4 linked regions of the Saccharomyces cerevisiae S288C genome follow. Changing the gene in region 2 together with the main gene of any one other region gives a genetic interaction. Each region holds a gene or a part of one and is shown on either strand. Other genes may lie near its edges.

What was found.
Region 1: mutations in MDM38 (region 2) and YME2 together harm fitness more than expected from each alone (negative genetic interaction), as found in Saccharomyces cerevisiae (4 studies listed by BioGRID, with this or other methods).
Region 3: mutations in MDM38 (region 2) and MGR2 together harm fitness more than expected from each alone (negative genetic interaction), as found in Saccharomyces cerevisiae (3 studies listed by BioGRID).
Region 4: mutations in MDM38 (region 2) and UPS1 together harm fitness more than expected from each alone (negative genetic interaction), as found in Saccharomyces cerevisiae (3 studies listed by BioGRID).

The regions. Positions count from the first base shown.
Region 1 is NC_001145.3:868,185-874,499, reverse strand, and holds YME2 (Yme2p), read left to right. Parts: upstream 1-1,874; coding exon 1,875-4,427; downstream 4,428-6,315. Other genes in the region: alcohol dehydrogenase ADH2, read left to right, coding at 163-1,209; ATP-binding cassette Fe/S cluster precursor transporter ATM1, read left to right, coding at 4,873-6,315. UniProt on the Saccharomyces cerevisiae protein: Plays a role in maintaining the mitochondrial genome and in controlling the mtDNA escape. Involved in the regulation of mtDNA nucleotide structure and number. May have a dispensable role in early maturation of pre-rRNA.
Region 2 is NC_001147.6:270,590-276,094, reverse strand, and holds MDM38 (ribosome-binding protein MDM38), read left to right. Parts: upstream 1-2,370; coding exon 2,371-4,092; downstream 4,093-5,505. Other genes in the region: LAG2 (Lag2p), read right to left, coding at 1-1,138; MIM1 (Mim1p), read left to right, coding at 1,742-2,083; YAP7 (Yap7p), read left to right, coding at 4,725-5,462.
Region 3 is NC_001148.4:363,572-367,601, forward strand, and holds MGR2 (Mgr2p), read right to left. Parts: upstream 1,157-4,030; coding exon 815-1,156; downstream 1-814. Other genes in the region: INA17 (Ina17p), read right to left, coding at 1-497; tyrosine--tRNA ligase MSY1, read left to right, coding at 1,381-2,859; ERI1 (Eri1p), read right to left, coding at 2,958-3,164; PNG1 (peptide-N4-(N-acetyl-beta-glucosaminyl)asparagine amidase), read left to right, coding at 3,356-4,030. UniProt on the Saccharomyces cerevisiae protein: Required for cell viability in cells lacking mitochondrial DNA.
Region 4 is NC_001144.5:538,537-542,664, reverse strand, and holds UPS1 (Ups1p), read left to right. Parts: upstream 1-2,128; coding exon 2,129-2,656; downstream 2,657-4,128. Other genes in the region: glycylpeptide N-tetradecanoyltransferase NMT1, read left to right, coding at 1-728; NCW2 (Ncw2p), read left to right, coding at 1,092-1,856; HCR1 (translation initiation factor eIF3 core subunit j), read left to right, coding at 3,076-3,873. UniProt on the Saccharomyces cerevisiae protein: Required for maintenance of normal mitochondrial morphology. Required for PCP1-dependent processing of MGM1.

The sequences.
Region 1 (6,315 bases), on a different chromosome or scaffold from region 2:
ATATAAATAGAGTGCCAGTAGCGACTTTTTTCACACTCGAAATACTCTTACTACTGCTCTCTTGTTGTTTTTATCACTTCTTGTTTCTTCTTGGTAAATAGAATATCAAGCTACAAAAAGCATACAATCAACTATCAACTATTAACTATATCGTAATACACAATGTCTATTCCAGAAACTCAAAAAGCCATTATCTTCTACGAATCCAACGGCAAGTTGGAGCATAAGGATATCCCAGTTCCAAAGCCAAAGCCCAACGAATTGTTAATCAACGTCAAGTACTCTGGTGTCTGCCACACCGATTTGCACGCTTGGCATGGTGACTGGCCATTGCCAACTAAGTTACCATTAGTTGGTGGTCACGAAGGTGCCGGTGTCGTTGTCGGCATGGGTGAAAACGTTAAGGGCTGGAAGATCGGTGACTACGCCGGTATCAAATGGTTGAACGGTTCTTGTATGGCCTGTGAATACTGTGAATTGGGTAACGAATCCAACTGTCCTCACGCTGACTTGTCTGGTTACACCCACGACGGTTCTTTCCAAGAATACGCTACCGCTGACGCTGTTCAAGCCGCTCACATTCCTCAAGGTACTGACTTGGCTGAAGTCGCGCCAATCTTGTGTGCTGGTATCACCGTATACAAGGCTTTGAAGTCTGCCAACTTGAGAGCAGGCCACTGGGCGGCCATTTCTGGTGCTGCTGGTGGTCTAGGTTCTTTGGCTGTTCAATATGCTAAGGCGATGGGTTACAGAGTCTTAGGTATTGATGGTGGTCCAGGAAAGGAAGAATTGTTTACCTCGCTCGGTGGTGAAGTATTCATCGACTTCACCAAAGAGAAGGACATTGTTAGCGCAGTCGTTAAGGCTACCAACGGCGGTGCCCACGGTATCATCAATGTTTCCGTTTCCGAAGCCGCTATCGAAGCTTCTACCAGATACTGTAGGGCGAACGGTACTGTTGTCTTGGTTGGTTTGCCAGCCGGTGCAAAGTGCTCCTCTGATGTCTTCAACCACGTTGTCAAGTCTATCTCCATTGTCGGCTCTTACGTGGGGAACAGAGCTGATACCAGAGAAGCCTTAGATTTCTTTGCCAGAGGTCTAGTCAAGTCTCCAATAAAGGTAGTTGGCTTATCCAGTTTACCAGAAATTTACGAAAAGATGGAGAAGGGCCAAATTGCTGGTAGATACGTTGTTGACACTTCTAAATAAGCGGATCTCTTATGTCTTTACGATTTATAGTTTTCATTATCAAGTATGCCTATATTAGTATATAGCATCTTTAGATGACAGTGTTCGAAGTTTCACGAATAAAAGATAATATTCTACTTTTTGCTCCCACCGCGTTTGCTAGCACGAGTGAACACCATCCCTCGCCTGTGAGTTGTACCCATTCCTCTAAACTGTAGACATGGTAGCTTCAGCAGTGTTCGTTATGTACGGCATCCTCCAACAAACAGTCGGTTATAGTTTGTCCTGCTCCTCTGAATCGTCTCCCTCGATATTTCTCATTTTCCTTCGCATGCCAGCATTGAAATGATCGAAGTTCAATGATGAAACGGTAATTCTTCTGTCATTTACTCATCTCATCTCATCAAGTTATATAATTCTATACGGATGTAATTTTTCACTTTTCGTCTTGACGTCCACCCTATAATTTCAATTATTGAACCCTCACAAATGATGCACTGCAATGTACACACCCTCATATAGTTTCTCAGGGCTTGATCAGGGTTCCGTAGATGGGAATTTGAGAAGTATAAGGGAGATAACGGTAATGTTATATTGAGAAAATGAAAGATGAACTCAGTATTGACAGGATCTAAAACCAAAATATAGCGGGCCTATACAGGAAGTAGTATTTGTAAAAGTAAACCATGTTGCTAGTACGAACGACTTCCCTGAATGTGTCAAGGATGCCAGTGCCATGCCTCGCCAGAGGAATAGGCATCCTCAAGGGCAAATATAGACTAGCGAACCTGATGAATGCCCAACCCTCAGTGAGACATGTGTCGAGCGAGATCCAGCAAAAGGATCAGCAGGCAGGAGAGTCAAACACCGCCACCGATACTGGTGTTATTCACAAATCAGATGAAGAAACTCTGATATATTTCGATAATGTTTACGCTAGAACCACCTCGGTTTGGAATCCAACACTGTGGTACAATCTCCTGCTAAGAAACCAGTCACGGGATGCAGTGAGGGAGAAAATAAGGAATTTAGCCAGTCCACCCAATAACCCCATTTATGGACTGGAGTTGAAGTCTACCATTCCAGTGAAAAGGGATGGTGGTGTATTTGCCACATTTGTCGTTCCACCCAAGTATACAAAAGCTCAGGTAAATTCTCTAATCCAACAGAATACAGCCAGAGAATCCTCTAAAAACTTACTCTCGTACTTCACTCGAGCTTCTGCCTTCCCAGTAAAGGGTTCGCCTTGGATTGAGGATTTAAGAAGACTACCAAGTACCACTATAGTCATCAAGTTCCAAGGGCCCGCCTTAACAGAAGAAGAAATATACTCTTTATTCAGAAGATATGGGACAATTATTGATATTTTCCCTCCCACTGCTGCTAACAACAATGTGGCAAAGGTAAGATACCGTTCATTCCGTGGTGCCATTTCTGCCAAGAATTGTGTTTCCGGTATCGAAATTCATAATACCGTCTTACACATACAATACGAAAATATCAGAAGAGGCCATCTAGTTAGTAATTTTTTCACCAACCATACAAGGATTGCTATTCCAGTTTTATTTGCGCTACTTTCAATCTTTGCTGTTTTAGTGTTTGATCCTATAAGAGAATTTTCGATTGAACAGAAGATCACTCACAAATATTCTTTATCGTGGGACAATAAGTTTTGGAAACAACTGAAAACGCTAACCTCATCTACCATGACTTCTATCAAGTACTACTGGGGCGGCCCTGATGATAATCACCAAAGAAAGCATTTATGGGAGGAAAGAATAGAGAAAGTGAATGACCTGAAAATGTGGCTTGAAGAAAATAATAATACTTTTGTGGTTATAAGGGGGCCTAGAGGTTCAGGGAAACATGATTTGGTCATGCAACACACTTTGCAAAATAGAGCAAATGTTTTGTATTTGGATTGTGATAAATTGATTAAGTCCAGAACAGATCCTATGTTTTTAAAAAATGCCGCTAGTCAATTGGGTTATTTCCCAATATTCCCATGGATTGACTCTGTCACAGGTGTCCTTGATTTAACAGTGCAAGGATTAACAGGGCAAAAAACTGGGTTGTCTGAGACGAAGGAATCTCGGTTTAGAAACATGTTAACTACCTCATTGATGTCCATTAGACGTATTGCTCTCAAGAATTACAAGGCTTTTGTTTCCACCGGTGATGGGACAGTTAATGTTAAGGAAGAAGATTACCTACAGCAACATCCGGAAGCTAAACCCGTTATCGTCATAGATAGGTTTGAGGGCAAGTCGGAAATAAATGGATTTGTGTATAAGGAACTATCCGATTGGGCAGCTATGCTAGTTCAAATGAATATTGCTCATGTGATTTTCTTAACGGAAACCGTTGCATCCAACCAAAGATTGAGCGAATCACTACCCAATCAAGTCTTCAAAAACCTAATCCTATCAGATGCCTCAAAAGAGAATTCGAGGAACTATGTATTATCCCAATTGGAGGATTACTTATATTACAATAAAAAATCCAAGGGTGAAAACGTAAAAGAACCTGAATCAGAAAAGGAAACTGCTGAAAATAATGATTCTGATAGTGAGGCCGATACGAGTGTCAAAAAAGCTGAGGTTATTTTAAATGAAAAGGAATTACAGGAAATTGACGCTTCTTTAGAGCCATTGGGTGGTAGGATGTTAGACTTACAGGCATTTGTAAGAAGGGTAAAGTCAGGAGAAGAGCCCTCGGAAGCAGTAGACAAAATGATTGAACAGGCTTCTGAGCAAATAACTCAAATGTTTTTAAGTGACAAGATTGACAGCAATAAAAGTGCACAAGCCTGGGAATTAATCGAATTATTGAGTGCGAACCCAGTCATTCCATTCCATGAAATCGTTAACAAGCCATTATTCAAAGCCGCACCAGAAACGGGAATCATGGAATTGGAGAATAATGGTTTAATAACTGTATCTAGAGATAGGGGTGTTTTACAGGAAATCAGGCCTGCCAAACCGCTATACAGGGCAGCATTCACATACTTGATCAACGATCCTGAACTCGCAAAAGTGCTAAAAACCCGTTACTTATTAAAGGTTGTGGGTTTTGAAACTGGTAGAATCAAGAAATGGGAAGAAGAATTAAAACCTTTGGGGAAAGTTCCTGATCAGAAACTTTTCAAGACCAGATTGGACTATTTATCCGGTAAAATCAATGCCAGTAATGCAGTCATTACCAAATGTGAAGAAGAAATTAAAAACCTATCTAAGTGATGAAACAAAACTTACTATTCTGCTTTTCTGTACATATGTGTAAACCCTATATTGCTATACTCATCTATATTCTTTTGAAAATGTATAAAAGTGACGATTGGAGATGGTGCAATTTTCTACGCAGCATGAAAAATATCTAAGGAAGGTAAGGTACATACCAAGTAAGTCTTATAATATGTTGTTGTACCTCACTTTACCATTCTTAAAGTCTTTAAAAGAAATTACCTTACCCAATTTGCACAGCAAAGGTCACTGACCTATACGTGCCCTTCATCAGATTACATCACGTGAAATTTCACTGGGAAAGAGCGCGAGGGCTTTCCGATGACTTTCTACATTAATAATCGCAAACAAAGCAATCAGCACAGCAAAGAGTACAATTTCGAAAATTGCGACAGAGCAACGTAAGTATATCGTTGTTGATAGATTCCACTCCAACCTGCAAATGCTGCTTCTTCCAAGATGTCCTGTAATTGGGCGAATTGTAAGATCAAAATTTAGATCTGGTCTAATCCGGAACCATTCGCCCGTTATATTTACTGTGTCTAAGTTATCAACCCAGCGGCCTCTGTTATTCAATTCAGCTGTGAATTTATGGAATCAAGCACAAAAGGATATTACGCACAAAAAATCCGTCGAGCAATTCTCGTCGGCTCCAAAAGTGAAGACTCAGGTAAAAAAGACCAGCAAGGCCCCAACCCTCTCGGAACTGAAAATCTTGAAAGATCTATTTCGCTATATTTGGCCCAAAGGCAACAATAAAGTGAGGATAAGGGTACTGATTGCCCTTGGACTGTTGATATCCGCCAAAATTTTAAATGTTCAAGTACCTTTTTTTTTCAAGCAAACTATTGATTCAATGAATATAGCATGGGATGATCCTACAGTCGCCCTTCCGGCAGCGATTGGATTAACCATTCTTTGCTATGGTGTTGCAAGGTTCGGCTCTGTTTTATTCGGCGAACTGAGGAACGCCGTATTTGCCAAAGTGGCACAGAATGCCATTAGAACTGTGTCGCTACAAACTTTCCAGCACCTTATGAAGTTAGATTTGGGATGGCACTTGAGTAGACAAACGGGTGGTCTGACGAGGGCCATGGATAGAGGTACAAAGGGTATATCTCAAGTGTTAACGGCCATGGTATTCCACATTATCCCTATAAGTTTTGAAATATCTGTCGTTTGTGGGATTTTGACGTATCAATTCGGTGCGTCATTTGCCGCAATAACATTCAGTACAATGCTTTTATACTCCATTTTCACTATAAAGACGACCGCATGGAGGACACATTTTAGAAGGGATGCTAACAAGGCCGATAACAAAGCTGCCAGTGTGGCTTTAGATTCTTTAATTAATTTTGAGGCGGTAAAATACTTCAACAATGAAAAATATCTTGCAGATAAGTATAATGGCTCCTTGATGAACTATCGTGACTCTCAAATTAAAGTATCGCAATCTCTAGCATTTTTGAACTCCGGCCAAAATCTAATTTTTACTACTGCCCTAACTGCAATGATGTATATGGGTTGCACCGGCGTTATTGGTGGCAACTTGACAGTTGGTGACTTGGTTCTAATTAATCAGTTGGTTTTTCAACTATCAGTACCGCTAAATTTTCTTGGTAGTGTTTACAGAGATTTAAAGCAGTCTCTGATTGATATGGAAACGCTATTTAAGTTAAGAAAAAATGAAGTCAAGATTAAAAATGCCGAACGTCCCTTAATGCTTCCAGAAAATGTTCCCTACGATATTACTTTTGAGAACGTCACGTTTGGATATCATCCCGATAGGAAAATTTTAAAGAATGCCAGCTTTACCATCCCAGCAGGCTGGAAAACCGCAATAGTTGGGTCTTCGGGCAGTGGGAAGTCCACCATTTTAAAATTA
Region 2 (5,505 bases):
TTTCGTCATAACCTTCTGATACGAGTTCATCGAGGTACGCTTGTTGTTCAGGATCGTTGTCTGAGCCAAATCCGTCGTCACTGTCGATCAGATTGTCGCTACCATGGTCGTTTTCATTTTGCGTCCTTGTCAGCGAGTCGTTTAATATGCTGAGCATACCAAACAAACCCTCTCTTAGCTGGCTAATAGTCGAATCTGACAATAGAGGCCTATTATCCTTTAGCCTACGAATAGAAAAATATGGATGGAAGTTATGAACTATTTCGAGAACATCTTCGACGTTACATTCTTCTCCCATTTGCGGGGGGAATAGAACCGGTAATAGCCGGTTAGTAAATAATTTATCGACTATGGGGCCAAATTTGTACCATATTCGAGAAACTGCTGCTAAAGTATTGTACTTCATTTTGGGGCATAAATTTTCCAGGTCCACCGGATGAGTTAATTGCGTAGAAGTCAAAAGTAATTTTTCTGTGATCCTATCAATGCTTTCATTTGTATTCGTAGCAGAATAGTCCTGCGCAATTGTAAAAACGTCATTCAAAATATCAAAGGGCAGTGTGACCATTACTGAAGGACTTGCCGCGTCTGAAAAGAAGCTAAATTTTAGCAATAGATTAAGGGATTCTATGTAAATTAGCATATTGCTTTCAGAAAGTGAATGTGAAAGCTGCGCAGCATCCACATCACACATATGCCTTTTCATTTCAACAATAAATTTGGAGATAAACTCTAATGAACTGTTTACTGGTTGGTGGTAATCTAAATGAGGGGAGTTTTCAATTTTTTGTAACACATTTCTTAGTGTCTCAATCAGAACAAAAGAACGATTTGCATGTATCATGCTTTGGTTTAATAAAGGGTCGCATATCAAGCTTATTACCCATCCCAACTGAGCAGCTGCAGGGTCGCTGATCATAGAAAGAACTAAATCGGGGAGCACTTGAAACGATACTAGGTTGAGAATTTCCATGTCTTGTTCTTCGACCAATACCGGGAGCAGCAATTCGTTAACAAGAGGAGCCAGCTCATCCTCTATGTCGTTAATTTTAAAGTTTTGCCTTAAAAGCATATATTTAAGGTCATTGTCCTTAGTGGAACGATATTGCTCAATCAGTTTACTAATGTGCAAGCTCATTACTAGTTGCGGTAGAACGTGATGTTGATATAGCTGAGTGCAATGTAAACGATTTTGCTACCACTTGTGTAATGTAGAACAAGCTAACCTTAGCTATGTGTAAAAATTTTGTAGAGATGATTCAATAAATGTCACGAAAGGATTGTAGAAGGATAAGAAGCAAGAATTCACAAAAAAGAAATGCGTCACAGACAGGATTCGAACCTGCGCAGGTAAAACCCAATGCCTAATTGCTTTTCTGAGGAAATAGCAGGGCATCGCCTTAACCACTCGGCCACTGGGACACGATTACTTACAATGCACAGCAAGAGCACCCCAACAGTACTTTAAAAACTCTCCTCCAAATATGTCTGCAACGTGTACTATTTATTATAACGAAGATAAATAGTAATACCAATGGCCCATAAAAGCGTATTATTCCACTACCATCGGCCTCCCCTACCACTGAACAAGAGGAATGCGTTACGAGATGTAATCACTTATAACGAAGTGGTATATTCCGCGCCATAAGAAACAGCCATACACTTTACTTGAACAATAGAACATCACTGTAATATTAGAAACATCACCCCCCTTCTTACGAAACTGCCACAAGACAGAAATATGACAGAGGTTGTGGGATTCTGGGAGAGCGTGTCAGATGACGAATCAGAAGACAAAGACTGTATGGAGGTGCAGAACACAGTGAGTGCCGACGAGAGCCCACTTGTGCAGAGCCTTGTATCCTTTGTAGGCTCGTGCTCCATCAACCTACTTTTGCCCTTCCTCAACGGCATGATGCTCGGCTTCGGCGAGCTATTTGCTCACGAGCTCTGCTGGAGATTCAATTGGTTTAACCATAGAAACAAGGGGTATAAGGTGTACCCAGAGTCGCGCAAAATAGCAGCATTGAAAGAGATTTCAAGCCCTGGCACCCGTGGGAGGGTTGCGTCCAAGTTCCTTTAAACGATCACCAAAGCATTAGCAACCTACATAAATAAATACACACACACATACGGTAGATTATACGTAACCACATAACTGGCAATAGTTTCACAAGCCATAAAGCTAGCCACGGTATTACCCTCAAACGACCCCGTCTTGGGCGATAATCCCGCGGTGAAAAATTATTCGTTGAATCATCTCCAAATAAATGGATCAGTCATTGCCACGGTGATGAATATGAACAGCGCAGTGCATTTCAGGCAGCGCATAATATACGCTATCTCTATCACTACAGATAATATACTAAGATGTTGAATTTCGCATCAAGAGCGTCATGTGTGACAAGACGTCAAGCAAGCTTGTATTTTGTTAAAAATCAAGGCCCTAGATTAATAGCTTCCACTATTCCCTCGTGTCATTGGCCTTTGAGAGCGCAAGGAGTACAGCCCAACTATCCTTTATCTTTGAGATTTTATTCTACTGATAAGTCGAAAAGTGTTACGAAGCCCGTAGCTCCAACATCCACCGATGCTCCTGCCAAGCCCAAGGAGACGCTTATGGTCAAAGTGAAGCACGCCTTGAAACATTATGCTAATGGGACGAAACTTTTGGGTTACGAAATCAAAGTTTCTACTAAGCTTTTGATTAAATTTGCTCAGGGTTACGAGTTGTCTAGAAGAGAGAGGAACCAATTGAGGAGGACAATGGGCGATGTGTTTAGGTTGATCCCTTTTTCAGCGTTCCTTATTATTCCATTCGCCGAACTATTTTTGCCTTTCGCTTTGAAACTCTTCCCCAACTTACTACCCTCCACTTACGAATCCGGCAAGGATAAGCAAGCCAAGAGAAATAAGCTCATCGAGATCAGAAAAAAGACATCCGAATTCTTGCATGAGACTTTGGAAGAATCCAATTTGATCACTTACAACACCATTGAAAATGCAGAGAAGAAGCAAAAATTTTTGAATTTTTTCCGGAAGCTTTATTCTGCCAAGGAAGGTAAGATTATGACTTTCCAACACGATGAAATAAGCGCCATTGCGCAAATGTTCAAAAACGATAGCGTTTTGGATAACTTGTCAAGACCACAATTGGCAGCAATGTCGAAGTTTATGTCACTAAGGCCATTTGGTAACGATAACATGCTTCGTTACCAAATTCGTTCCAAACTAAAGGATATAATGAACGACGATAAAACTATTGACTACGAAGGCGTTGAAAGTTTATCGCAAGAAGAGCTGTATCAAGCTTGTGTGTCTCGTGGTATGAAAGCGTACGGTGTATCCAAGGAGGACTTGGTCGATAATCTAAAAGTTTGGCTAGAATTGAGACTGAGACAAAAAATCCCATCCGTCTTGATGGTTTTGAGTTCCACGTTCACGTTTGGAGGACTTCCAAAGGAGAACTATTCAAAGGCATTCTCGCCACTAGCTGAAAAAAAAGAAACAAAAAGCAAATATGACGACCTTTTGGATCTGTACTACGACGGTATATTACAAGTGCTAAGTTCCATTCCAGATCCCGTTTACAACGTCGCAAAACTAGATGTATCTGAATCGAAATCATCCGCTGCTGAAACTGAAGCTGAAAAGCAAGTTGCTGAAAAGAAGATAAAGACGGAAGAAAAACCCGAGGAAACTGCTATACCGAAGGAAGAAGCCACCGCAAAAGAGTCTGTTATAGCTACCACCGCTTCTGCGGTTACTCCTAAACTAGTCGTAGTTAATGAAAAGGCAGAAACAGCGAAGACAGAGGAAATATCTCAGGAAAAAGAGAACGCAGAGCCTACCGACTCTGCGGAAGCCACGGAAGCTGAAGAAAAGAAGACATCCGACGATAACGAGTTCAAATTGAACGTTTTGAAGGAGCAAGAAGAACTAATAAAGAAGGAGGAAGAGGAAGCTAAGCAAAGAGCTTCGAGAGAGCATGTGCCAGATGATATCAACCTAGATGAAGAGGAAGAAGCAAAATCTGTACCTCCCATTCCGGCCGATCAAGCTGCGAAGACTTTTGTCATTAAGAAAGATTGATATTAGATCAAAGCCTAAGAAAAAAACTAAAAAAAACTAAAAAAAAAAAGTCAATCGGTTCTCTTTTCTCTGACAACAATGGCAAAAGATCAAAGAGAAGCGTACGTCACGGCAAAACCAGCGACCCTTCAAAACTAAATTATTATGCATGTATATAATAGACACCCTATCTAAACTACCGCCTTATTTTTTTTTTTATACAGGAGCAAAGTGTCTTTTTTGTGATGGCCACGAGGGTCCTTTCACTCATGACTCCTTAATCAGCATCTTATGAGCTGGATTTTCATATATCGGCGATTTTTTTCATCGGTAATGCACGCAGTAAAGCTGCTCGCTCGAGAAAAATTAGTAATATATGGAAGAAGAAGCATAAGCATAAAAGAGAAAATCCGCTGCCCCACCGTAGAAAGCAAACAAGGCTATTGGTTATTCCTCTTTTCACCTGTACTTCAATCTGTAGCACATCATCATAAGAGGCTTGAAAGTTGCTCAAGAACAGTTTCAACGGTTTTTTCTTTTGAAATTTGAAAATTGCTCTTCGTTTGTTGAGCCGTTATCAAGGAAGTAAATCATCAATTAAAGAATATAGAAAGGCACAAAATTTTGTCATTTACGCACACTTTCAATGGATCATGAGACAACGAAGGTCTGTAGTAGCAGTTAGCGTAAAGCCCAAAGGCTTCAAATTGGGGCATAAACAGGGTTCCATGTCTACGACGTCTCCACCTCCATCCTCACCAGATGGAAATGTGAGTACATCAGGACCGTCAGCTATTAAGTTATCCAAGAATTGGGAGTTACCACAGCGCCTAAAACCGGGCCGCAAACCGAAATCCAAGCGCGGGGATGCATCAGCTAATAATGATGGATCGTCCAAGATAAAGAAGGTTCAAACTTCCAACCAGAAAGACCAAATGACCACAAAAGATCATGAGAACGAAGGCGCAAAAGGTCATGAGGGGAAATCTGATGATGAAGGCAACGGAAGTGGTGATGAAAACGGTGTCGATAGCGTGGAAAAGCGAAGGAGGCAAAATAGAGATGCGCAAAGAGCATATAGGGAACGCAGAACAACAAGAATCCAGGTTCTGGAAGAGAAGGTTGAGATGCTACACAATTTGGTCGATGATTGGCAAAGGAAATATAAACTGCTGGAATCTGAGTTTTCCGATACAAAGGAAAACTTGCAAAAATCAATAGCATTAAACAACGAATTGCAAAAAGCCTTGCCTTTGATTGTTAATACTCCATTTCAACAGCAGCCAGAAAACCCGCCAGACAATCCTATTTCGATATTAGAAATGGTAGAAAACTTTAAACCAATCGGCGCTGTCAGTTTAAAAAAAGGAAAGCTGAAGGCCCATTGTTAACATCTCATGTGCCCGCGGTATTAACAGACCAGTCTTTGTCTGA
Region 3 (4,030 bases), on a different chromosome or scaffold from region 2:
CCCTTTCCCCTACTAGTATTGTGGGTTTTATCCTGTACAATTAACTCATTTAATTGGTGTTCCAGGATTTCTACCTCTTTCTTTAGCTGACTTTCTCTCTCCTCATGCTCTAGTTTCCACCAAGAGAAGTGAAGCAGTAAATAAACGGAAGATCCCATTAGAATGAACATCCAAAGAGGCCTAATAAATCTTTTTACAGGGATCTCATGTCCTGATTCTTCCTCTTGCGAGAATTTTTTGAGCATATCTAACTCCTTTTTGATATTTAATTTTGTAGTATGCTCATTAATCAAATCGCGTATCAGTTCAGTATCAACACCATCCAAAGAATCCAAATTAGCCAAGTCTTCTAGGCTCTTGATTTCTTTCTTCGGTGACGTTGAAACAGCTCTTCGTTGTTGGTTGAGGAGGCGCCTGTGGTAATAGGCAACGGTTGTTATGGGAAACAATTTAGTTCTACTCAAAGTAATGAGAGCATTAGAGCGTCTTTTTAACATATTGTCTATTATATGCTTTGGTTCCCATTTCCTTTCTCAAAGTTTACAAATATAACAGAGTGCTTAGCGAATACTTTATTTTATGAGTCTTGCCGTTAGTGACCCCACCCAAAATAAGATGCAAACCGGTATACATATTAGACATTTCCCACGTATACAAATATATTAAGTAAATAAGCCTCGTCGTGATGAACTTAAATACATGGTATTGAGAGAGTTATAAACAGGTAGATAGATATCTTAAATAAAAATAAGCAGATAAGTAACAATGTTTAAGAAAACGATGGGGAAGCGTAAATATATGCAAAATTTCCCCCTCAGTCCTTACGTATACCGTATTTGGCACGAAGCTTCCACATTTCCAGTCTTGCCTGTTGCTGTAGGTTCAGGTTAGGATGGGACATTGGACTACTTTCACTATCACTTCTGATTATAGACCCGATGGACATAAATAGCCCAAAGGTACCCGCTGAACCAGCAATGTATTTCCCTAGTGTTCTAACTACACCATCAGGACCTGGGCCTTGAGTTGCGATGGCAAATCCACCAAATAGGATGCCTGTGCAGACACCGACGGTAGTACCCATCATCAACCCCATTTTGAATTTGTCCCAATTCGAAGGCTGCTGTTGCGCATAATTTTGTGGAAGAGGAGGCATTATATCTTAATATTGGACTTGAAGCTGTTGCGCTATTTGTGCTATATGATCTTGTGTGGTGTTCTGTGCTTCCTTCTTATGGAAAAGTAGTGGAGTCTGTTTGGTAATGTTGGTCTTGTTCGGGAGTTTTGAAAAGAAAATAAAAAGTGGTTGGCTCATAATGTTAAGAAAGAATTTCCAGTTTCCGATTGAACACAGCAATCTACAGGTAGACATTGTGAATCATGCTCGAATTACGAAGTTGTAGTAATTTGGTCAATAGTAGTAGGAGACTTGTGCCTCTGGTGACTTATTCCGGACTAAGTGCAATAACATTGCCTAAATCTCGATTTTATTCACAGCCTAGTGCTTTAGAAGTACAGGGCACATCGGATTCTCGAAGCGATAATATTTTAGACGAACTCAAACAAAGGGGTCTAGTGTCCCAGGTCTCACAGCCAGAGAGTTTCCTTCGGACGAAGTTGAACGGTAACGATAAGATCAAATTATACTGCGGGGTGGATCCCACAGCTCAGTCACTTCATTTGGGAAATCTAGTTCCACTAATGGTTTTATTACACTTTTACGTAAAAGGTCACGACATTGTCACTGTGATAGGTGGAGCTACAGGGAAAGTTGGGGACCCAAGTGGTAGGAAAACAGAAAGAGACGTTATGGAGAACGATATTAGGCAAAGCAATGTGGCATCCATCTCGCAGCAATTACAAAGGTTTTTCAAAAATGGCCTAGAATATTACAGAAACCGATGTGCTCTCACTGAAGATGTACCTTCCGGAAAATATACACCAAGGAATAATTTCAACTGGTGGAAAGACATCAAAATGTTGGATTTCTTAGCTGATTTTGGTAGGCACATTCGGGTACAATCTATGTTGGCGAGGGATTCAATTTCTTCGAGGCTTCAAACCAAAAATGGTCTGGGATTTAACGAATTTACTTACCAAGTTTTACAAGCGTACGATTTTTACCATTTGTATAAGGAAGAGAATGTGACTATACAAGTAGGTGGTAACGACCAATGGGGAAATATAACAGCCGGTATCGATCTCATCAATAGGATACAGCCTATAAAGAATAAGGGTTTGCCATTTGGTATCACTGTGCCCTTGTTGACGACGGCTACAGGAGAGAAATTTGGGAAAAGTGCAGGCAATGCTGTTTTTATTGACCCCTCAATCAATACGGCGTATGATGTTTACCAGTTCTTTTATAATACTTTGGATGCTGATGTACCCAAGTTCTTGAAGATCTTTACGTTTTTAAACTCAAGTGAAATCAAAAAAATTGTGGAAACGCATATCAAATCACCCAGTCTACGTTATGGCCAAACTTTATTGGCTAAAGAAGTCACAGATATGTTATATGGAGTTGGCTCCGGATCGGATTCAGAAGCGCTTTCTAATATTATTTTTGGACGTTATGACGGAACTTTATCTGCTGCGAAGTTAGTTGATCTATGTAAAAAAGCCAGAATTTTGCAGTATGCTGATAGAGAGATTGACTTAATAAAGTTAATTTGTAAACTAGTAAATTGTTCAGTATCAGAAGCCAGAAGAAAACTTTCCCAGGGAAGCGTGTATCTGCATCATTCAAAATCTAAAGTAAACGAAAATATTTCTAACTTGGCTCCTTTCCTGATAGATGATCGAGTACTGATCTTGAGGATAGGAAAGCAGAAGTGTTTTATAATAGAAATGCGTTAAAAAAAAGGGAGGTATATAAAGTACATGTATAAAATAGGCATGCGTGAGGTGATATTATATCATTTTATGCACTGACTTGTAAATAAGATTATAAACGATTATTCATCTTTACTACTTGCGAACATTTCACTGTCACACCAGGCTATGAGGGCCCACAGCCAGAGAGTCGCAGGGCATAGCAGTAATACACACCAGTAGTGCAGGAAAGAGTCATTGTTGCGTAACCAGTAAAATGTAGCAAGACTAATTAGGAGTACCGAGTAAGTAAACCCTAAAACCAAAAAGCCTTGGTCACGTGGTCTCATGCGCTTATAAATTCTCAATCATGTAATTGAAACAGTCCTGTTGCCTAGTTTCAACTGTTCTATGCTTCTTGATGTTTTCGAAACTTTGCGTAGTGTAATCTTCCTTGTATTGTAGCGAAGAAAAAAGGATGCGTTGGGAACAGATATAGAAGACGTAAAACAACCTGAAGAAGGTAACAGGTGGAGTAGCAATGGGAGAGGTATACGAAAAAAATAACATAGATTTTGATTCAATAGCCAAAATGTTGTTAATTAAGTATAAGGATTTCATACTGTCTAAATTCAAGAAAGCTGCACCTGTAGAGAATATAAGGTTTCAGAATTTAGTCCATACAAATCAATTCGCACAAGGAGTCCTAGGTCAGAGTCAACATCTCTGTACAGTCTATGACAATCCTTCATGGCATTCTATAGTCCTGGAGACATTGGATCTGGATCTAATATATAAAAATGTTGATAAGGAATTTGCCAAAGATGGGCATGCAGAGGGGGAAAATATATACACGGATTATCTAGTAAAGGAGCTGCTTCGCTACTTCAAACAAGATTTTTTCAAATGGTGCAATAAACCAGATTGTAATCATTGTGGCCAGAACACTTCAGAAAATATGACACCTCTGGGCAGTCAAGGGCCCAATGGAGAGGAATCTAAATTCAATTGCGGAACTGTTGAGATCTATAAATGCAACCGATGCGGAAATATCACTAGATTTCCTCGTTATAACGATCCAATTAAGTTGCTGGAAACTAGAAAGGGAAGATGCGGTGAATGGTGCAATTTATTTACTTTGATTTTGAAGTCGTTTGGGTTAGATGTTCGCTACGTCTGGAATAGAGAAGATCATGTTTGGTGTGAATATTTTTCA
Region 4 (4,128 bases), on a different chromosome or scaffold from region 2:
TGAGTACGTGTCGTTATACTCATCGTCCCTTGAATTGGAAGAAACTTTATGAAGTAGATTTCACAGGGTTACCAGATGGGCACACAGAGGAGGATATGATTGCTGAGAATGCGTTACCGGCCAAAACAAAGACAGCGGGATTGAGAAAATTAAAGAAGGAAGATATTGACCAAGTTTTTGAGTTGTTCAAAAGATATCAATCCAGGTTCGAACTAATTCAAATTTTCACAAAAGAAGAATTCGAACATAATTTCATTGGTGAAGAATCGTTACCATTGGATAAACAAGTAATTTTCTCATATGTAGTCGAACAGCCCGATGGAAAAATTACAGACTTCTTCTCATTTTACTCATTGCCATTCACAATCCTAAATAACACAAAATATAAGGACCTAGGCATCGGGTACTTGTATTATTATGCCACCGATGCAGATTTCCAATTCAAAGACAGGTTTGATCCAAAAGCTACTAAGGCTTTGAAAACAAGATTGTGTGAATTGATTTATGACGCTTGTATTTTGGCCAAAAACGCTAATATGGATGTTTTTAACGCGTTGACTTCGCAAGATAATACATTGTTCTTGGATGATTTGAAGTTCGGGCCCGGTGACGGGTTCTTGAACTTCTATTTATTTAATTATAGAGCAAAGCCGATTACCGGTGGCTTGAATCCCGACAATAGTAACGACATTAAAAGGCGTAGCAATGTCGGTGTTGTTATGTTGTAGTGGCTGAAAGGACGAGGCGTATATAGTTTTCGTGTACATAGCCGACAGAATTTGACCACATTTAGTTTTTCCGCATAGTCAATTGACGAAGTGAAAAAATAATTAATCCAATGGCTGGCTTTAGAGTGTCAGCCTCCAAAATAAATCCAAAAATAGACAAAGAGAATCACTATAATTACCGCCTTGGAGTCCAAGTTGGCTTGAGAACTCGCATTTATTTTTAGCGACTGAGGTAGCTGAAAAACGCCTACTTTCTCAGAAGGCGGTAGTGAGCATATATAAGTATGTAAGAAAGATCAACTCTTCTGGACTAGATACTCACCGATCTAGTGAAAATATAAACAAACCCAACATATATATAAAATGAAGGCCTGTTCCATATTATTTACCACCTTAATTACTCTAGCCGCTGCTCAAAAAGACTCTGGTTCCTTAGATGGCCAGAACTCTGAAGATAGCTCACAAAAGGAAAGCTCAAACTCTCAAGAGATCACACCTACCACGACAAAGGAAGCCCAAGAAAGCGCATCAACTGTAGTTTCTACCGGAAAAAGCTTAGTACAAACTAGCAACGTCGTCAGCAACACCTATGCTGTGGCTCCAAGTACCACCGTAGTGACGACGGATGCACAAGGCAAAACCACGACACAGTACCTATGGTGGGTGGCCGAAAGCAACTCTGCCGTAAGCACAACTTCAACTGCCTCTGTGCAGCCCACCGGAGAGACGTCAAGCGGAATCACCAACTCCGCATCCTCCTCAACGACATCAACATCAACGGACGGGCCAGTTACTATAGTAACTACCACGAATTCGTTAGGTGAGACTTACACATCTACTGTTTGGTGGCTACCGTCCTCAGCCACAACTGACAACACGGCTTCATCAAGTAAATCATCTTCGGGATCCTCATCAAAACCGGAATCAAGCACCAAGGTAGTAAGCACTATCAAATCAACTTATACCACTACGTCAGGTTCTACAGTAGAGACACTGACCACTACATACAAGTCTACAGTCAACGGTAAGGTAGCGTCCGTAATGTCCAATTCTACCAATGGCGCCTTTGCCGGCACTCACATAGCTTATGGTGCGGGTGCATTCGCCGTTGGTGCCCTTTTGTTATAGAATGTATAATCAGTTCTGTATACCACCACATAGTTCTGCATTTTAATAAAACTCTTTCTTTTTATACACTGTAGGTAACCAATAATATAACTATTGTTATCATCGTGCTTGCGTATTTTTTTTCTTTCGGGTGAAAAACTCCGCAGTATTTCTCGCTCTCCCTGGATAATAAGCTAGAAAAAAAAAATATATATGACAGATGGATGAGTAATCATATTCAATAAGTATTGTCTGGCTTCTGAGACGGCGGTAAGATATCCTTAAGAGTTGCAATGGTCCTTTTACACAAAAGCACACATATATTTCCTACCGATTTTGCCTCTGTTTCACGCGCCTTTTTTAATAGATACCCCAATCCATACTCCCCCCATGTACTATCCATAGACACAATATCAAGGAACGTTGATCAAGAAGGAAATTTGCGCACAACGAGGCTGTTGAAAAAGTCCGGAAAGCTGCCCACATGGGTCAAACCCTTTTTAAGAGGTATAACAGAAACATGGATAATCGAAGTTTCCGTAGTGAACCCCGCTAACTCCACAATGAAAACTTACACTAGGAATCTGGATCACACTGGAATCATGAAGGTTGAAGAATATACTACCTATCAATTTGACAGTGCTACAAGTAGTACGATAGCAGACAGCCGGGTGAAGTTTTCAAGTGGCTTCAATATGGGTATCAAATCTAAGGTAGAGGATTGGTCGCGCACTAAATTTGACGAAAACGTTAAGAAAAGCAGAATGGGCATGGCATTTGTTATCCAAAAACTCGAAGAGGCGAGAAATCCTCAGTTTTGATGTTCCCATTTAAAGATCTTTAAAGATATCACCATGGGCGAGCGAAATTGAGAAAACTAGTGCAGCTCGCATTTGGTCACGTCCTAAAAATTGTAAATAAGCGCTGGTTCAACAAAATTTAATATACACACATATATAATTATTTATTTATAACAGTCATTCTGCTAAACTATACATCAAATGTCACTAATCTTGATATTATGGTCGTCCCTGTATCATATTAGACGAACACACCTGTTTTTGGGCATTTTCCGAATTTTTTTTTCATGCTAGCTAAGTCAGAAGTACTACATTAAAGAATTGAGAACTGACTGCTCCCACCATTCTTGAACTCTCGCTTTAAATTATCTTACTATCTTTTGAGTTCCTTGTAACTATTCTATCCTAACCACCACCTCAAAAAAAAAAAAGTAATAAAAATGTCTTGGGACGACGAAGCTATCAATGGTTCTATGGGTAATGATGACGCCGTTTTGATGGACTCATGGGATGCTGAAATTGGTGATGACGAACCTGTCATGCAATCATGGGATGCAGAAGAGGAAGAAAAGAAGCCTGCCCCAAAGCCAAAAAAAGAACAACCAAAAAAGGTTAAAAAAGGGAAAGAATCCTCCGCTGACAGAGCCCTATTGGATATTGACACATTGGATGAAAAGACACGTAAAGAATTAATCAAAAAGGCTGAAATGGAGTCTGACTTAAACAATGCTGCAGATTTGTTTGCGGGTTTAGGTGTTGCCGAAGAACATCCAAGGGCTCGTGCTTTACAAAAGGAACAAGAGGAACAAGCTCTAAAAAGACCCGCCTTTACCAAGGACACACCTATCGAAACACATCCTTTGTTTAACGCCGAAACAAAGAGAGAGTACCAGGATTTAAGAAAGGCTCTTACTGCTGCTATTACACCAATGAACAAAAAATCTCCGCTGAACTACTCCTCATCGTTAGCGATTGATTTGATTAGAGATGTAGCAAAACCAATGTCCATCGAATCTATAAGACAAACAGTTGCTACTTTGAACGTTTTGATCAAAGATAAGGAAAGAGAGGAGAGGCAAGCTCGTCTGGCCCGTGTTAGAGGTGGTACTGCTACTGGGGGTGCTGGTAAGAAGAAAGTCAAAGGTAAGACCAATTTGGGTGGCGCATTTAAGAAAGATCAAGATTTCGACCTAGATGGCCCCGACGATTTTGAATTCGGTGATGACGACTTTATGTAATCTGCTTATTGTTTCTTTGCTATGATAAACTTGTCCATCTCATTTTGTTGGTGAAAAAAAGCGAAGCCCAGCACCGCAGGCCTTGGATATTGCCATATCACAATTGTCCTGAAATTGTGAATGTCTATATTCCCATATATATATCCATAGGCGTTTCATTCATATAAAAATAAATACGCATATGTGTACGTAGGAGATTGTGTTTTCAAGATGGAGAATATAATGTGTTTTTGCACCGTTATCTGGCTTTTTGTT